Linked DNA regions of Rhinolophus ferrumequinum. The protein of the gene in region 2 interacts with the protein of the main gene of each other region in a biochemical or structural test. Links are inferred from orthologs where the notes say so. Each region holds a gene or a part of one and is shown on either strand. Other genes may lie near its edges.

Region 1 (6,850 bases), on a different chromosome or scaffold from region 2:
ACAGTGCTTTCTCTGAATGGTTTTGGTCCCAACCCACACTGTTAACACTGGCTAACACTGGGTTCCTTTCCTTCCCAGCCCAGGGAATGAGGGAACTAAGTGTAAAGCAAGCTGTTTCTATCCCCACAGGTGCTCTCAGGTTCACACACCAGAAGCGGAATCAGCTCCCCCTGGAATCCTTTTCAGCAAACACCAACCTAGTCTGCAATCTCTCTCTCTCTCTCTCTCTCTCTCTCTCTCTCTCTCTCTCTCTCTCCTTCAACATTTCACTCTTATTTCATACAGCCCCATCTGCAGTACTGCCATGCTCTGAGTGAAAGCAGAATCAGGCAGCAAAATAATATAAAAATGCTAAACCAAACACACCTTCAACTCCCAGGGCTCAGGACACCCTGTGGACTGCCCCAGTCATCTCAGGTGATCTCTGACCTCATCCTCTCCTGCAGCACTGCCTCCTGACTTGTCTAGCTTTAAGCTCAGAGATGAAGGAAGTGTTGGGGTTTTGCTTACAACAACCCAGGCTCCTCCTGAAAGCGTCAACTCAGAGTGAAAGCTGTCCCCAAAGCACTTTTGGGTTTGCCAACCCCCAGGGTCTCCATGATGGCATACTTAGGAGGTGTTCGGGAGGCTCAGAGAGGCCATACCAGGCTGCAGCCTTGGAGGGCACCCCACCTTCTGACGCAAAACAAACTTCACACTCCTGGGAGCTGATGTGATGACAGCTTGATTCTCACAAGGAGTCCCCTCCAGAAACCCAGCACCCTTGGGAAAAGCACTTGATGGGGTGCCTGATTCTTTGGCTATGGGGAGCATAAGGGCACCAGTCAGCCCAAACATCTGGAGAAGAGATTAACTGGGCATGGGTATTACCCATGGAGAGACCTGTGCATTAGGAAAGGATCGTCTCCAGACGGAGACGAACAAAACACTTGGCGGTGGGGGTAGAGAGGGAGAAGAAAGGCAAAAATTGAAAGGGGGAAAAAGGCAGGGAGACAGAGAAAGACACACAGGGAGGCACACGGAGAAACAAGACGGGAACCAACCCACAGTCACGCAGACCCTGAAACTCAATTTCTTAACCCCAAAGCTATCCATTTATACCCACTGCAGCACCGGAGCTACGGGACGGAGGCTGCGGAGCGGCGGCGGGAGAGCACTGCGGTGGAGCCCACCGCTCAGCTGCCCGGATCCGCCTTCCTCCCGTTTCGCCGTCGCCCTCCGGCGCCCGGAGCAGCACCGCCAGGCCTTGCTCAGCGCACCCCACTGCCTCGCTCCAGAAGCCCTTTTGCATGGCTCGGGAATCGTCCTAGGGGCCCAGGATTGGGGTTGGGGGCTGCGTCAGGGAGGTCGTGGGAAAAGACGGGCGGAGGGAGGAGGCAGCGAAAGCGATTTTGTTTCGCAGTTAGCATGAGCTCATCTCTGGCTCTGAAGTGACAGGAGTAGAAAGCTGATCGCCCAGCTCCTCCTGCCAGTGGCGGGACTGCAAATGCAATTTAGACGGTGCAAACATTTGCCCACAGCAGATCCCCAGGGGGTCATATCTGCGGGTGGCATCTCCCCCACTTGCGGAACGTCCCCGTGCCTTCCGCCCCTGCCCTCGCAGAGACAGGCTACAGGTCAGGAAATCCAACCCGACAGAGATGGGCAGTTAACCTCCTTATTGTAGGTGAAGACCTAGTCCCGGGTTTAAGAAGTGCCTCCCTAAGCTCTTCAATTTTTCCAAGGAAGCTGAGGCTTGCTGGTAGGCTTGGGGCTGGGGAGCTGGGGAGTTGAGAAATGCCCAGGTTCCAGGCGTCTTCTCATCCTTCATATTCCATGCGCCTAAACGGCTCTCACCCGGCACTTTTACAAGCCTGTTTTCGGACCATATTTCACCCTAATGCAAACCCATTTAAATCATCGCCTTGTTTTTCGCATATTGCTTCTTATAAATGGGGCCATAAATCCAGGAAGTCAAGCCTGATGGAGTGGAGCGCGCACAGGGGAGAGATGGAAGGGAAGTGAACCAAGCAGGGAAGGTACCTCCTCGGGTGGGGTGGGAGGGATTCGGCAGGATCTCCAGGGTGTAAATGCACGAAGGCGAACCTGACCCCTCATCCCTGGAGTCCAAACCAGCTTTTAGGATTGAGAGCGCAGGGAGCTACGTCCCGCTCTGCCCCGGAGGGAGCGCCCCCCTACCTGGAAGAGCCTCAGGATGTTGGCTACCATGATGGAGACCGAACTCCCCGAAGCCCCAATCACTCCAACTACTTTCTCCGGCTTGACAAAGACCGGAGGCTCCCCGTTGGTGCAGCGCACATCGGAGGTGTCCTTCTGGATGAGCGCCTGGACGAAAGTGAGCGACTGTTCGAGCGCGTAAGTGTCCCTGGAACAAGTGTCCAGGATCCGCGCGCCTAGCGTCACGTTGGGCAGCAGGTTGGGATCGCTGTTGATCTGGTCCAGGGCGTAGAGCATCGCTTCCAGCCTGTGGATCCCGTTCTCTCTCTTGATGTCGCCGCAGGGCACTCCGCTGGGACCCTTGGCGTGCACAGGGAACAGCCCCCCGAGGGTGACGTCCCCCTCGATCCGGATAGAGTGTGGGGCGTACATCTCCTGGCCGCGTGCCGCCGCCGCCAGAGCGCACAGGAGCACCTCCAGCACGCAGCAGGGGAACTTCATCAAAGTCAGGACGCGGAGCAGCTTCCCCAGCTGGACCATGCTGCTCCGGCTGCTGCGGTGGCGGCGGCGGCGCTGAAGGAGACCGTGGCGGGCTCGCCGGGGTCCGGGCTTCTTGGGGTGAGCTCTTCCCGGGAAGACCCAAAACTCCTGCAGGCACGGAGGGTGGGGGCGCCCGGGAACGGGCGGCCGGAGAGGAAGGGGGGTCCCGCGGCGCCTGCCAGCTTGGGGCTCCGAGCGCTCTCGGGTTCCCGGCCCGCGCGCCGCGCTCGCGCTCCCCGGCTCGCGGCTCGCACTCTTCAACAGCCCAGCACTGGGGAGAGGGCTCGGATTGCTATCGCTTTAAATGGTCTTTCGGCTCCCTCTCCTCCGCCTCCTCCCACTCCCTCCCTCCCTCGCTGGCTCTCAGTCTCTCCCCACCCTTTGCAGCGCCCGCCCTCCCCACTGGTTTGCATCATCACGCAGGGAGGGGCTGCGTGCTGAGGTAAGGGGGGGGCAAGGGTGGGCGGCTGGCAGCGGTGGGGAGTGCCTCGGAGAGGGAGTTTCTCGGTCCCCAGGGAATCTAGGGATTGCAGGTCGCAGGCGAGGGCTGAGCTCTTGTCCCCATCTCACTGTAGAAGCCTCTTGCTCGCCCGCCTGCACCCGTACGCACATCCCAGGCACCGGTGGTATCAGCCCCGGGATGGGGCGAGAATGTCTGGTTCTGACCGCTCCCAACCCTGAGGTCCAGAGTCCAGACTCTCAGCTCCGGGAGGACGCCAGGGAGTCGCAAGGTGAAAAGGCCGTGATGGAGAGGAGTGGGAAGACCCCAGTCTGTACTGCCGACCCGCCAGTGCCAGCTTTTCCTAAGAAAAAGAACATACACAGAGGAGCCGGACCCATGACTTAAAGAACCTTTGCCCAGAGACTTCTCCAGGGCCAGGCACTGGGCTACCCCGTAAGGAAACACCCAAACAAGAAACGTTAGGAATGGGAGTACATTCTTGGTCTTCGGCAGTTACTGGGGCCAGAGCCAGATGAACGAAGTCACTGCCATCGCCAGCTAATCTGTGATGGAAAGCCTGCACTTGACCCTTTTCTTTCTTTCCTCTCAAGAGATGGAACAACTGAGACCTCTGCAGAGCACTTTCTCCTCTGGCACTGACAGGTGTAAGGCGCCCTCCTACCCATTTCCAGAGATGCCTCTGGGCTGATGACAGGTTTTCCAGGGCAGGAAACAGCAGGAAAGAGGTGATAGTAGGAGGAAGAAAGAAGGGCAGACAGAAGTGTCTTCAATGATTCAGAATGCCTTTCTCCCTTTTCTTTGGCTGGAGATTGGGGGGCAAAATCAGGATAACCAGAGTAGGTTGCAGTGCAATTAGGAAGCTGTTTTTCAAAAGTGTCATCTCCTGCAGGCCGAGCGTGAACTTGGTCCATTAAAGCAACAGGTGACCCTAGGAAAGGTGATGTCTTTGTCCTTGGGGGCCCGAGTGGACTCGGAGGTTAACTCTGCTCTTCCTGACGCTTTCCTTTGGAGTGCAGCAAAACTCTAGTGCAAGGACTTGAGGGTGAGAGAAAACCAGAAACAAGACTCTACTTTTTGTTGTTCTTACTAATGTACCCCCCCCAAAAAAAAGTCCTTGTACACATATACACATGCAAACACACACACAACAAAAAGCACAAGATAAGTAGTTGCTTGTCTTTACCACCAAGTAGCTGTGTATCCTTGGCATTTCTATTTCCCTGTCTGGGTTTTAGATTCCCCATCTGTAAAATGATGAGATTGAATTGGATGCTCTCCAAATTATCTTTTAACTCTCAACTCCTCTGTTAAAATAGGCCATATCCCTTTGGCCATGGTGCTCTTTTTAGGCCAATATGCTCTGTTGCTGAATGTGTAGCAGACCAGTTGTTTGCTATTCAAAGAACATCACAAATGTGTCCTGGTATACAGGACATTTTTTATATTTCCTTGCCCACCATCTAGTCCTCTTTCTTCTAAGGACAGTCCAGTCCATTAATTTATTTTTGGATGTGCCCTTCCTCCACATTTCAAAATTTAAGGTTTGAGAAAAACAGATGCCACTTCTCATCATTCAGCCTTGGCTACTTGAAGCATGGGGTCCTTCTAGCTACTATGTGACGATATGTTCAAGGATTGGGATGGAACCCAATGAGAGCCATCGAGGGCCAATCCCTGGACTTCGCTGCAGTAACCAGGGTCGTCACCCAGGGTTACCAGTAGCCAACAGACAATCTGTGCATGAGTTAGAGAAAAAAGCCCCCTCTACCCTCGCCATCCTCAAACGCTTTATATCATTTGGAAAATGTTATACTATTCTAATTCTAATTTGTAAGAACATAACATGTACTGCCATCTTCTAGAAAACGGCGCTGCAGTTAATATACTAATCTACTGTTGCACACAATGTGATTATCAGTGGCTCTTACATGCGATGCCCTACTACGTATGTGCTCACCTTGCATTACACTGTGATGGCCCGCTCCTTCCTGCCAGTCCTTGGGCTGTGAGGAGAACAAGCCTGTGTGCCAGGAGTTTCCACATAAACAAGGAGATGTTTCCCATGATAAAAGATACAAGAGAGGGAGAAGGAAGAGGAAGAGAGAATGGGGATAGAGATAGGTGGGGCCTGATTACAACATTTGAACTCCTGGATTCCTGCTCGCCTGAAAGATTGCCTCTGGGTTTTTTCAGTTATATAGTATTTTCTTTCTTTTGTTTGAAGACAAAAAGATCCTCTTTTAATTAACTTGTTCTAATACACCAGATCAAAAAGGGCAGAACAGCTGAAATAGACAACTTGTTAAGGTAGCATCGGCTAATTTGGAAAGAGAAAAAGCAGCAAACAAAGCAACAGAAAGGCATGCTTGGGAACAAAATTCTATGATCCTAATATTTAGGCATTGGTGCCTCAGGCTGTGTTTGACAGAGACTATATCCTAAGTTTTAAATTTAAGACTATTTATTAGGAACTTGGTGACAAAAAAATATTTGGAGAGATGGGTCTCAAGTATTGTCATTTGATTTTTTTCCTGTTCATGTCTGGATCCATGTTCTACTCTTCCATTTCTATTTCATACCTGGTGATTGCTCAATAAATATGTCTTGGCTGACTATCGAATATTGCCTTATTCTGTGTTCTCCCTTTGCTCTGCTCATTCTCCCTAAACATCTGGCAGCAATCATTATCTTCTTTTCATTGCAGTCATCTGTGCGCATGTCTTATTTCCCCTGCCAAGTTGTAAGATCCTTGAGGGTAAGGGCTGGGTATTATTTATCATTTCTTCCGGACAATGTTTAGAATGATGTTTTGTACCTAAGGGGCACTCATGTGTTGAATGAATCAGAACTGGTGTTGCCATTCCCCACTGCCTTTATCTGACAGTGACTGAAATGTAAAGTGGCGGAGCAGAAATGATGGCAGATAAATTGCTGTCCTCTGTCACGGTATGCAGTTTCTAGAGTGTAAATTATAATTAGTACATTTAGAAATTATTCTGTTTTACGGAAATTGCATAAGATTGAAATGCTCTAACTTGAACACTCTTGATCACCTCTAAAGGAAGGTATTCATTGGTTCTTCCTGAGTCAAATGTTCATTCCTGGAGCAATAACTGGGGTTGTTGCCATAGACTGGCTGAGGAAGGTCAAAGCCAGGCACTAGCACCACCTGAACTAAATAGAAAGGGTGATCTGTTACCAGATAAATGGGAAATTGATACTGAGCTTGCAAAACCTACAAACATCCAGCACATATGTTATCTAATTCATCTTTATATTTTTAGTCACAGTGTATAATAGGGACACAGTATTTGTGGGGTTTTTTTTGAGATTATGTGAATGGAAAGCGTTTGTGTAAAAGTGGTTAATCTAAAACTCGGCCAGTCATTTTTGTAGTGTCCTATTTAATTGGAGGAGAATCTAGTTTTAGGCAGAAAGATGGTCCATTATAAAATGTGTTCACAGGCTTGGGTCTGTGTAGTTATTAATCTGACCTCATAAAGGAATTACTGAAAATGAATAAATAAAGTTAAGAGCTCAATCCTAATTTATATTCTTAGGATTGTGTTTCCATAATCATCTCAGTTTTACTTATTTTCTTTGTTGTTTTACTTTGTCCATTATCTTCTGAAGACAATAATGTCTCCACTTCAAATCCCTCTCTGTTTAAATCCAATTTGTAATTTACAA
Region 2 (7,451 bases):
AACTCTATTTCTGGAATGGACTTCAGAGCTGTCGTCGTATTACCCTTGAGGTCCTAAATGTCATCAAAATGTCTTCTTTTCAATATTTCCTTTATCTTCGGGTAAAGAAAGAAGTCACTGGGGGCCAGATCAGGTGAGTAGGGAGGGTGTTCCAATACAGTTATTTGTTTACTGGCTAAAAACTCCCTCACAGACAGTGCCGTGTGAGCTAGTGCATTGTTGTGATGCAAGAGCCATGAATTGTTGGTGAAAAGTTCAGGTTGTCTAACTTTTTCACACAGGCTTTCCACCACTTCCAAATAGTAAACTTGGTTACTGTCCAGTTGGTGCAAATTCATAATAAATAATCCCTCTGATATCAAAGAAGGTTAGTAACGTCACTGCAACAAGTTCACGAACTTAATTGTCACACCTCGGATGTCCAAGGTGGCAAGCTTCCTTCCAAGGCTACAGAAAGGTCACTGCCTGTCTCTACTCCTGAGTCCCAGCTGACAGAATATCACCAGTGCAGCTTCCTCTACAAGGGACCACAAAATTGTTCACTACCACCGGCAGTTCATCTGGGAAAGTGAACAACTGCCATAAAAGTAGTAGCAGCTACTATTTAACGAGTGCTTATTAAGTACCGGGCATTGTGTCATGTCATTTTGTTAATCTTCATAACAACCCAAAGATGCTCATATCTACATATTTTATATCCCCACTTTCCAGGTGAGGAAACTGAGGCCCAGGGAGGGGTAAGTAACTTGCTAATAAGCAGGGAAGCTTACATTTGAACTCAGGCCAATATTATTTCAGTCTTTTAGTTTTTCCACTACACTTCACTTGTGCTAGTACCAAAAGCTGGTGGTTTGTTGATTCATTAAAGATATTTTTCTTGAAGTCCTAGTCTATGTCAGGCATTATACTAGGTACTGATAAAAAAGCAACCTGGGATCCTGCCCCAGGCACAAAGAATCTGAAAAAGCAGCTAGATATAAAACAACTAAAGAGCAAACCCATGATTACAGGTGGTGATAAGGACCGAGAAGAAAAAGAAAATACTGGAATAACAAAGAAAAACCAGGGCAGCCCTACTGAGAAGGGGTGGTCAGGAAGCCCTCTCTTAGGAGGTCAGACCTCAAGAATGAAAAGGAGCCAGCTCTGCAGAGTAGAGAAAGGAGCTCTTGTGTCATGGCCAAGTAGGGAGGTGGCTTGCTCTCTCCAGGACCTCACCCCCACCTCCAAAGCACCCAATACCTGGACAATGTAGAGGCAGGGACAGTACTGGGCCCCTCCTCCAATACTGATCCCAATCAGGTTCTGAGCATCCTTCTGCAGGGTCACCTTCCCGGGCACGGTAGGGATTCCACTGGAAAGAGAAGCACAAGAGGCTGAGTCCCCCGGAGGAAGGATGACTGGCGAGGATTGGGAAGGGGACGGGCCCTCTAAAACCCCAAGAGGCTCCAAATGCTGCACAGCCTTTTCTCTTTCTCATTTGGCCAGAGAGACAGCATTTTGTGCTGGAATGTGCACAGCTCTTGGAGTCACACAGACGTGGGCCCTCCTCCCAGCTCTGCCATTAATCAACTACGGGACTTGGGTAAGTCAACTTCTTTGCAGCTCAGTCTCCTCATCCATAAAATCATATGGAAAAAATGGCTACTTCATCAAAGTTATTGTAAGAAGTGCCTAGAAGGCACTTACCAACAACCCAGCCCATATCAAGCACTCCGTAAAAATAGGTCCCCCTTCCTTTACTTCATTCTACCTCTGAGGTTTAAGTCAGACTCTGTCCTTGTCACCTTCTCAGGCACATATGGAATGTTACGTCCACCTCCTCTGGGAAATCTTCTCCTGCTAAACTATCCAACACCTATCTCTCAATTGCCCTACTCAATCACCTCTCAATTTTTACTATAAATTAGCACTTACTTATGTTTTGTGGTAAATATTCTAATTCATTCACTTTCTCACAAACATTTGCTAACAACCTACTTGCGGTCAAGCACCTTATAAAGTGCTGAGAACACAAAAAGGCATTGGACCCAGTCCTTGCTCTGAAGGAGAATATATTCTAATGAGATTAACTTAATTTTTGAAAACGTGTCCCACCAATCGTCTACAGTGGGGAGGACAGTATGTTTACGACGTTTCTATTCATTCTTTGAAACCTGGCTCAATTGCCACCTCCTCGGTGAAGCCTTCCCTGAACATCCCTACATAGGCTGCATCTGCTCTGCTCTCCTTGTAGCCAGGTGATTCTCCATTAAGGCCCTATGATCCTGAATTGTAGTTATCTGTTGATGTGTCCACAGTCCCCTACAGATGGTGAGCTCCTGGAAGGGAAGGGTCGGTTCTGCTACACTACAAGACCTAATCCACAGCTGAAAAACAAGGGTCGGTGCAACTGGCAAGCCTGGGGTCTGGGGAACTTGGGGCGCCTACACTTTTGGGACTTGGGGGAACAAAATACTCACAGTTTATCCTCTTCGATATCATAATCCAAATCTGCAAACATGGTTCGGAGAGTTGAAGTGGGCTGGCTAACTGCCCAGTTCCGCAGGGGAATAGGGAGCTGGATCCGGGAGAGAAAGGAGCATAGGATTTAGGGAACCCAAGTGCCAAGATGTCAACCCCAACCCTGGCGATCCAGACCCTCCCACTCCCCTCTGGACCGTGGGTAATCCCTGTCGAGTGGCTAGGTGATTCTTACTAGGAATAGGGGGGGACTCCAGGCCAGGGCGCTGGGTTCAGATCCCAGATCTCTCCCCCGGGTCTTCAGGCACTTGGAGGCTGCCTCTGTCGCTCACCGGAAGCGTCGGTCCACAGCCGCGTCCCAGCCAGGCTGGCACCTGTACCCACCTGCCGTTCCACCTGTCGGCGGCCGTGACTGTCGCGTCACTTCCGGCCGGACACGGAAGTCCCGCCTTCCCCCCCGGGTATTTACCCCAGTCCCTGCAAGCAACTCTTCCCTCCCTGGCTCCCGGGACTCCCAGAACCAGGAAAGAGAACAAGTATTGACGGAAGCTCGCCGTTAGCATGAGAAAGCGGAAACAGAGGAAAGGTCTGGACAGTCTGACAGCGCTCAACCCCACCCCTTGTCCTGTGGCTGCCGCCATATTCATAAGGGCAAGGTTCTTCCCAGATTCCTCAGCGGGAAGCTGAGGACCACTGGCCCGGTGGTTGCCGTGGCAACGGAAGCATCCTGGGTGGGGAAACTTCCGGCGAAGTCCAATGGCCTACAAACCCTTCCACATTTTCCGCACTCTGTCCTAGGGTATTACCATTAATAGAATGACATGTCGGAGCCAGCGTAACCCCATTTTTGCAGACCAGGAAACTAAGTGCCAGAGAGGGAAAGGGATTCTGTCCGGAGCCACCTGCAGTTGGTACAAGATCCAGATCTTGACTTTGAGACTCTGACACCTAATCCAGTGCCCTTTTAACACCTGCATACCTATGTTCACAGATCTGCTATTAACGACACATTGGACAAGTTACCTCCTCTTTACATGCCTGCTTTCCCCATATGCAATCTAAGAGTATTGAGGTAGGGATGCTTTCTCTGGTATTTGGTGAAAGATTCCTCAACCCATGTCCTTTGTTAGCCCTCAGGAGCAGCTCCTCTGGGGTCTCACTGAGGGCCAGGAAATGCCATCAGTGCTTCACGGCCCAGGAGTTCGAATCTCGTCTCCCTGCCAGCCTCTGCAGCCACTGCTACTGTGCAAAGCGGGTTCCCTAAAGGGGGTTGGTGCTCACAGAGCCACAGCCTTGGCATCGATCTTGTCCAGGGAGCATGGGCCCAGGCCTGTCCAGCTTCCTTCCCTAGCTGCCCCGGGGGCTTTGGAGGAAGGAGAGAATCACAAAAATGATTATCTGCATATCCCATAGCCTAATGCGATCCCCACCACCTCCTCCTTAGGGAGTTAATCTGAGTCACAGCAGATGTTCAGAATGCCACAATAACAAAAACTGTCCCACGTACCCTGAACTGCTTTGCAGTTCAGATCACTTCCATGGGATTTTAAAGTTCACCGCAGCCCTGTGAGAGGAGAACAAGTATTGTCAGCTCCACTCTGCAGGTAAGGACCCTGAGGCTCAGGGAAACAGCTTCCCCTTGTGTCACAGGTGGCCCTAGGCAGAGCTAGGGCTGGAACCTCCAAACCCTGTTTGCAGGCCAGAGTTTCGGTTTTAAAAAGCAGCAGCCTCCAGACCCAGATACTTTCACATGGGCTGTGGCTCTCCCACCACACAATAGCTCTAGCTCAAGCCCGGACATTGCCATTTTGTAGCTGGGGGATCTTGGGCAAGTCACTGCATGACTCTGAGCTTTGGGTATCTGTAAACCGGGGACAGTGATCCTCTCCACAGGTACTTGTGAAGGTCAAGATAAAAAGGAGAAACAGGTGCGAGTGCTTTGTAAAGAATTCACATGGCACAGATTCACTCCGCCCTCTTGACCCCAACCTACTCAGGACCCTCTTCTCAGGTGAGGGCAAGATGCCCAGACCCCTCTTGTTTGCTTTATCTTCTCTCTCTTCCTACCCAGCTCTATCTAATCCACCTCTTCTGGGGAGTTTTACCAGACGATCCCAGCTCACAAAGCTGCCCCTTTTTCTGAGCTCCTAAAATAGTTGTTATTTAGATTGTTCACTTGAAAATTACTTTTGTATTGCCTTGGGAAATCCTGCCTGGCTTCTTTGAGCCATTAACTATTACATGCTTGTATTTTGTCTGGGGAAGCTTTTTCTCCTTTAAAATTAGGACCTAGGGCTCATATCTTGACAAATTGTGAACTGCTTCTCCCTGTCTATCCGGACTTTATACTCCCTGGCATTCACACCTTCCATAGGACGCTAAGAATCCATCAATAAGTGTCACTGTGACAAGAAAAAGAAAATCAGATTGCTTTGTAACGCCTGTTAGAGTGAAGTATTATGACCCACTTTATGTTTGTCAGTGGAGCGGGGTCTCCTGGGTCAGCTCACAGAGCATGGAACCTGTTCCAGCCAATTAAGGGGGTGAGGTTGGGACCATGAATTTATTTGAGGGGAAAGAAAGTTGGAGTACCATGTTCCATCACCAAAGTAATCAATTCTTGTATCCCCAGCTGGACAGGAAGCGCCTGGGGGCAGGTCTTGCCATTCTCTGCATCTTGCACACACCTGGAGCACAATACCTGGCTGTGGATGAAGTGCATAGAAATAGCTGTGGCTTTATATGAGATGGGACGGTCCCTCAGCCCTGGAGGAGAGGACATGGATGGGCAGAGAGGGAACGAGATGATGAGGGCCTGAACCTGGACAATGGCAGTGGCCTGAGCTTCCCCCATGGGGCTGGAATCACCAAGTATAGGTCCTGAATTTTGGAATTTCAGTTTTCAGCAAACAGCAACCTCCAACCTAGGAGTTTTAACATAGCCTGCAGCTCTGCCACCCCAGGACGACCCCAGACCAAATCCGAGCTCTGCTAATTTGTAGCTGGGGGATGTTGGGCCAATTGCCCTTTTCCTCTGAGCCTCAGGTATGTGCAGAATGGGGATGATGCCTCCCAAGATAGGAGTTATAAAGACGGAACTAAAAGAGAAAAGCGAGTCTGAAAGTGCTTTGTGAGCGATTCACTTGGCACAGATGTCAGAGGTTTTTATTGTCATTCCTCACTGTAATCATTTTGCCTGACTGCTTCAGAGGGCTGGGCGTAGGACACACCTAAAGGGCCATTGGATGCTCAGGCGCCTGCATCAGACTCATCTGGGAAGCGTCTTACGTGCAGATTCCTGGGCTCTGTCGCAAACCTATTGGATCCATCTCTGGGGAAGGAGGATTTTCACAAAGCTCCATGGGCCATTTCGTTGCTAACTGCAGCGGACGGCTGTCTCAGAGGCTCAGGATGTACAGTGTCTGTGCAGCCGGTGGGCCTGTTCCTCCTGAGGGTGAGGCCTCTGGTGCCAAGAATCCTTGCTCCAAAGTCCTCACATTAGGAGGAGCCAAAGGCCTGGGAAGGCTTCCTGGAGGATGCGACCTCTCAGCTGAGTCCTGAGGAAGGTGTACCCAAGGCAGGTGACACAGGCAGACGGCACAGGTGGTGCGGGCAGTGGAGGTTACAAGGAACAGTCCCTGTGCTCAGGAAGTCACTGTGGTGGGGTGAGGGGGACTGAAACAGACAGTAGGAGCAGTGACAGGGGTGATGAGGTCACTAAGTCCAAGTGAAAACTTGGGGAGAACCGTTATTTCTGCCAGAGTCACAGGTGAGAGGGGTCAACAAGGGCCTCAGAGGGGAGGTTTGAGCACCTGCTTCAAGATGGGTAGGATTGCAAGGGTTGAAATGGGGGCGAGGACATCCACCCACTTCCAGGAGGCTGAGCCAGGACTAGTCCTCAGACCCTCTCTGTCCAAGATTGCGCCTCCTCCTTCTCCCCTGCTCCGCTTTTGAGTCTACCCAGGCAGCCGGGTGACCTCTCACCTGGCCTAACCCTACCACTGAAAGCTGTGTGACCCCAATCTCTCTTGGGCCTGGGTCCCCTGCAAGATTCCGCCCCTCAGTTCCCAAACCTCAGGTTCAATCTGGAAAAGCTTGCCCCCCCAATCCAATATTCCTGGGGATGTGCTGCCACCCAGTGGCCATCAGGAGAAACACCCCCGGGGCACCAGAGTGGCAGGAGAGTTCCCCCCACCTGTCCACTCCTGTCCTTGTCACCGCCCAGCCCTGCTCAGGCTTTGTAGCCTGTAGGCGATGGATGAGGCTGGCTGTACGTGTGCCATGCTGTGTTGGACATGCGTACCCTCAGCACTGCTGTGGCCCCAGCACAGGGCCTGACTCACACTGACTTTGCAGACTCCTGTAAAGGGCAAGAAACGAGGGGTTAGTGGGTGCTGTTCAGCTGAGATACATAAGGCATGGGTTTTAAAATCGAACAGATAGTGACACAAATACCAGCAGCCAACACTTACTGGGCATTTACTGTGCATTGGGCCCCTTGCCAAGGTGCTTCCATTCATTGTCTCATGCGAACCTCACCACAGCCCTTTTAAGTGAGGTTAGTCATTCACCTATATATTCATTCATTCATTCATTCATTCATTCATTCGATAAATTGTATTAATACCTACTACGTCTAGGCTGACATTTCGGGGAACAAGAAAAGCAAGGTCCCACCCTGACATGAGTGGACACAGCAGTCCCTAAAACTAGGTAACACCTCCCACTTCAGTGCATTGGGCGAGGCCCCAAATCTAAAGGGGAGCCCAGTGGGAAAGGGTGCCAATGTGGACTTGTGGGGAGTTGGTGGTGGGCTGGACAGAGCATTGGCTGAGACCAGCTGTGTGACCACAGAAATGTCACTTGACCTCTCTGAGCGGTGGTCTCCACGGCAAAATGGCTCTCATAAGAGACCAAGTGTTGGTTTTAAAGTTAAGTCAGACCATGGCACTCCCCTGCTCGACCCCCTCCAAAGTCTTCCCATTACACGT

The links.
Region 1: the proteins of PICK1 (region 2) and GRM7 form a complex in vitro, tested with the Homo sapiens proteins (2 studies listed by BioGRID, with this or other methods). The link is inferred for Rhinolophus ferrumequinum from reciprocal best matches to the Homo sapiens genes PICK1 and GRM7.

Annotation. Positions count from the first base shown.
Region 1 is NC_046300.1:46,598,356-46,605,205, forward strand, and holds the start of GRM7 (metabotropic glutamate receptor 7), read right to left. Parts: upstream 3,016-6,850; 5' UTR 2,698-3,015; coding exon 2,179-2,697; intron 1-2,178. UniProt on the Homo sapiens protein: G-protein coupled receptor activated by glutamate that regulates axon outgrowth through the MAPK-cAMP-PKA signaling pathway during neuronal development.
Region 2 is NC_046293.1:8,946,426-8,953,876, forward strand, and holds the start of PICK1 (PRKCA-binding protein), read right to left. Parts: upstream 3,016-7,451; 5' UTR 2,793-3,015; exon of another isoform or gene 2,696-2,792; intron 2,558-2,695; 5' UTR 2,501-2,557; coding exon 2,460-2,500; intron 1,352-2,459; coding exon 1,240-1,351; intron 1-1,239. UniProt on the Homo sapiens protein: Probable adapter protein that bind to and organize the subcellular localization of a variety of membrane proteins containing some PDZ recognition sequence.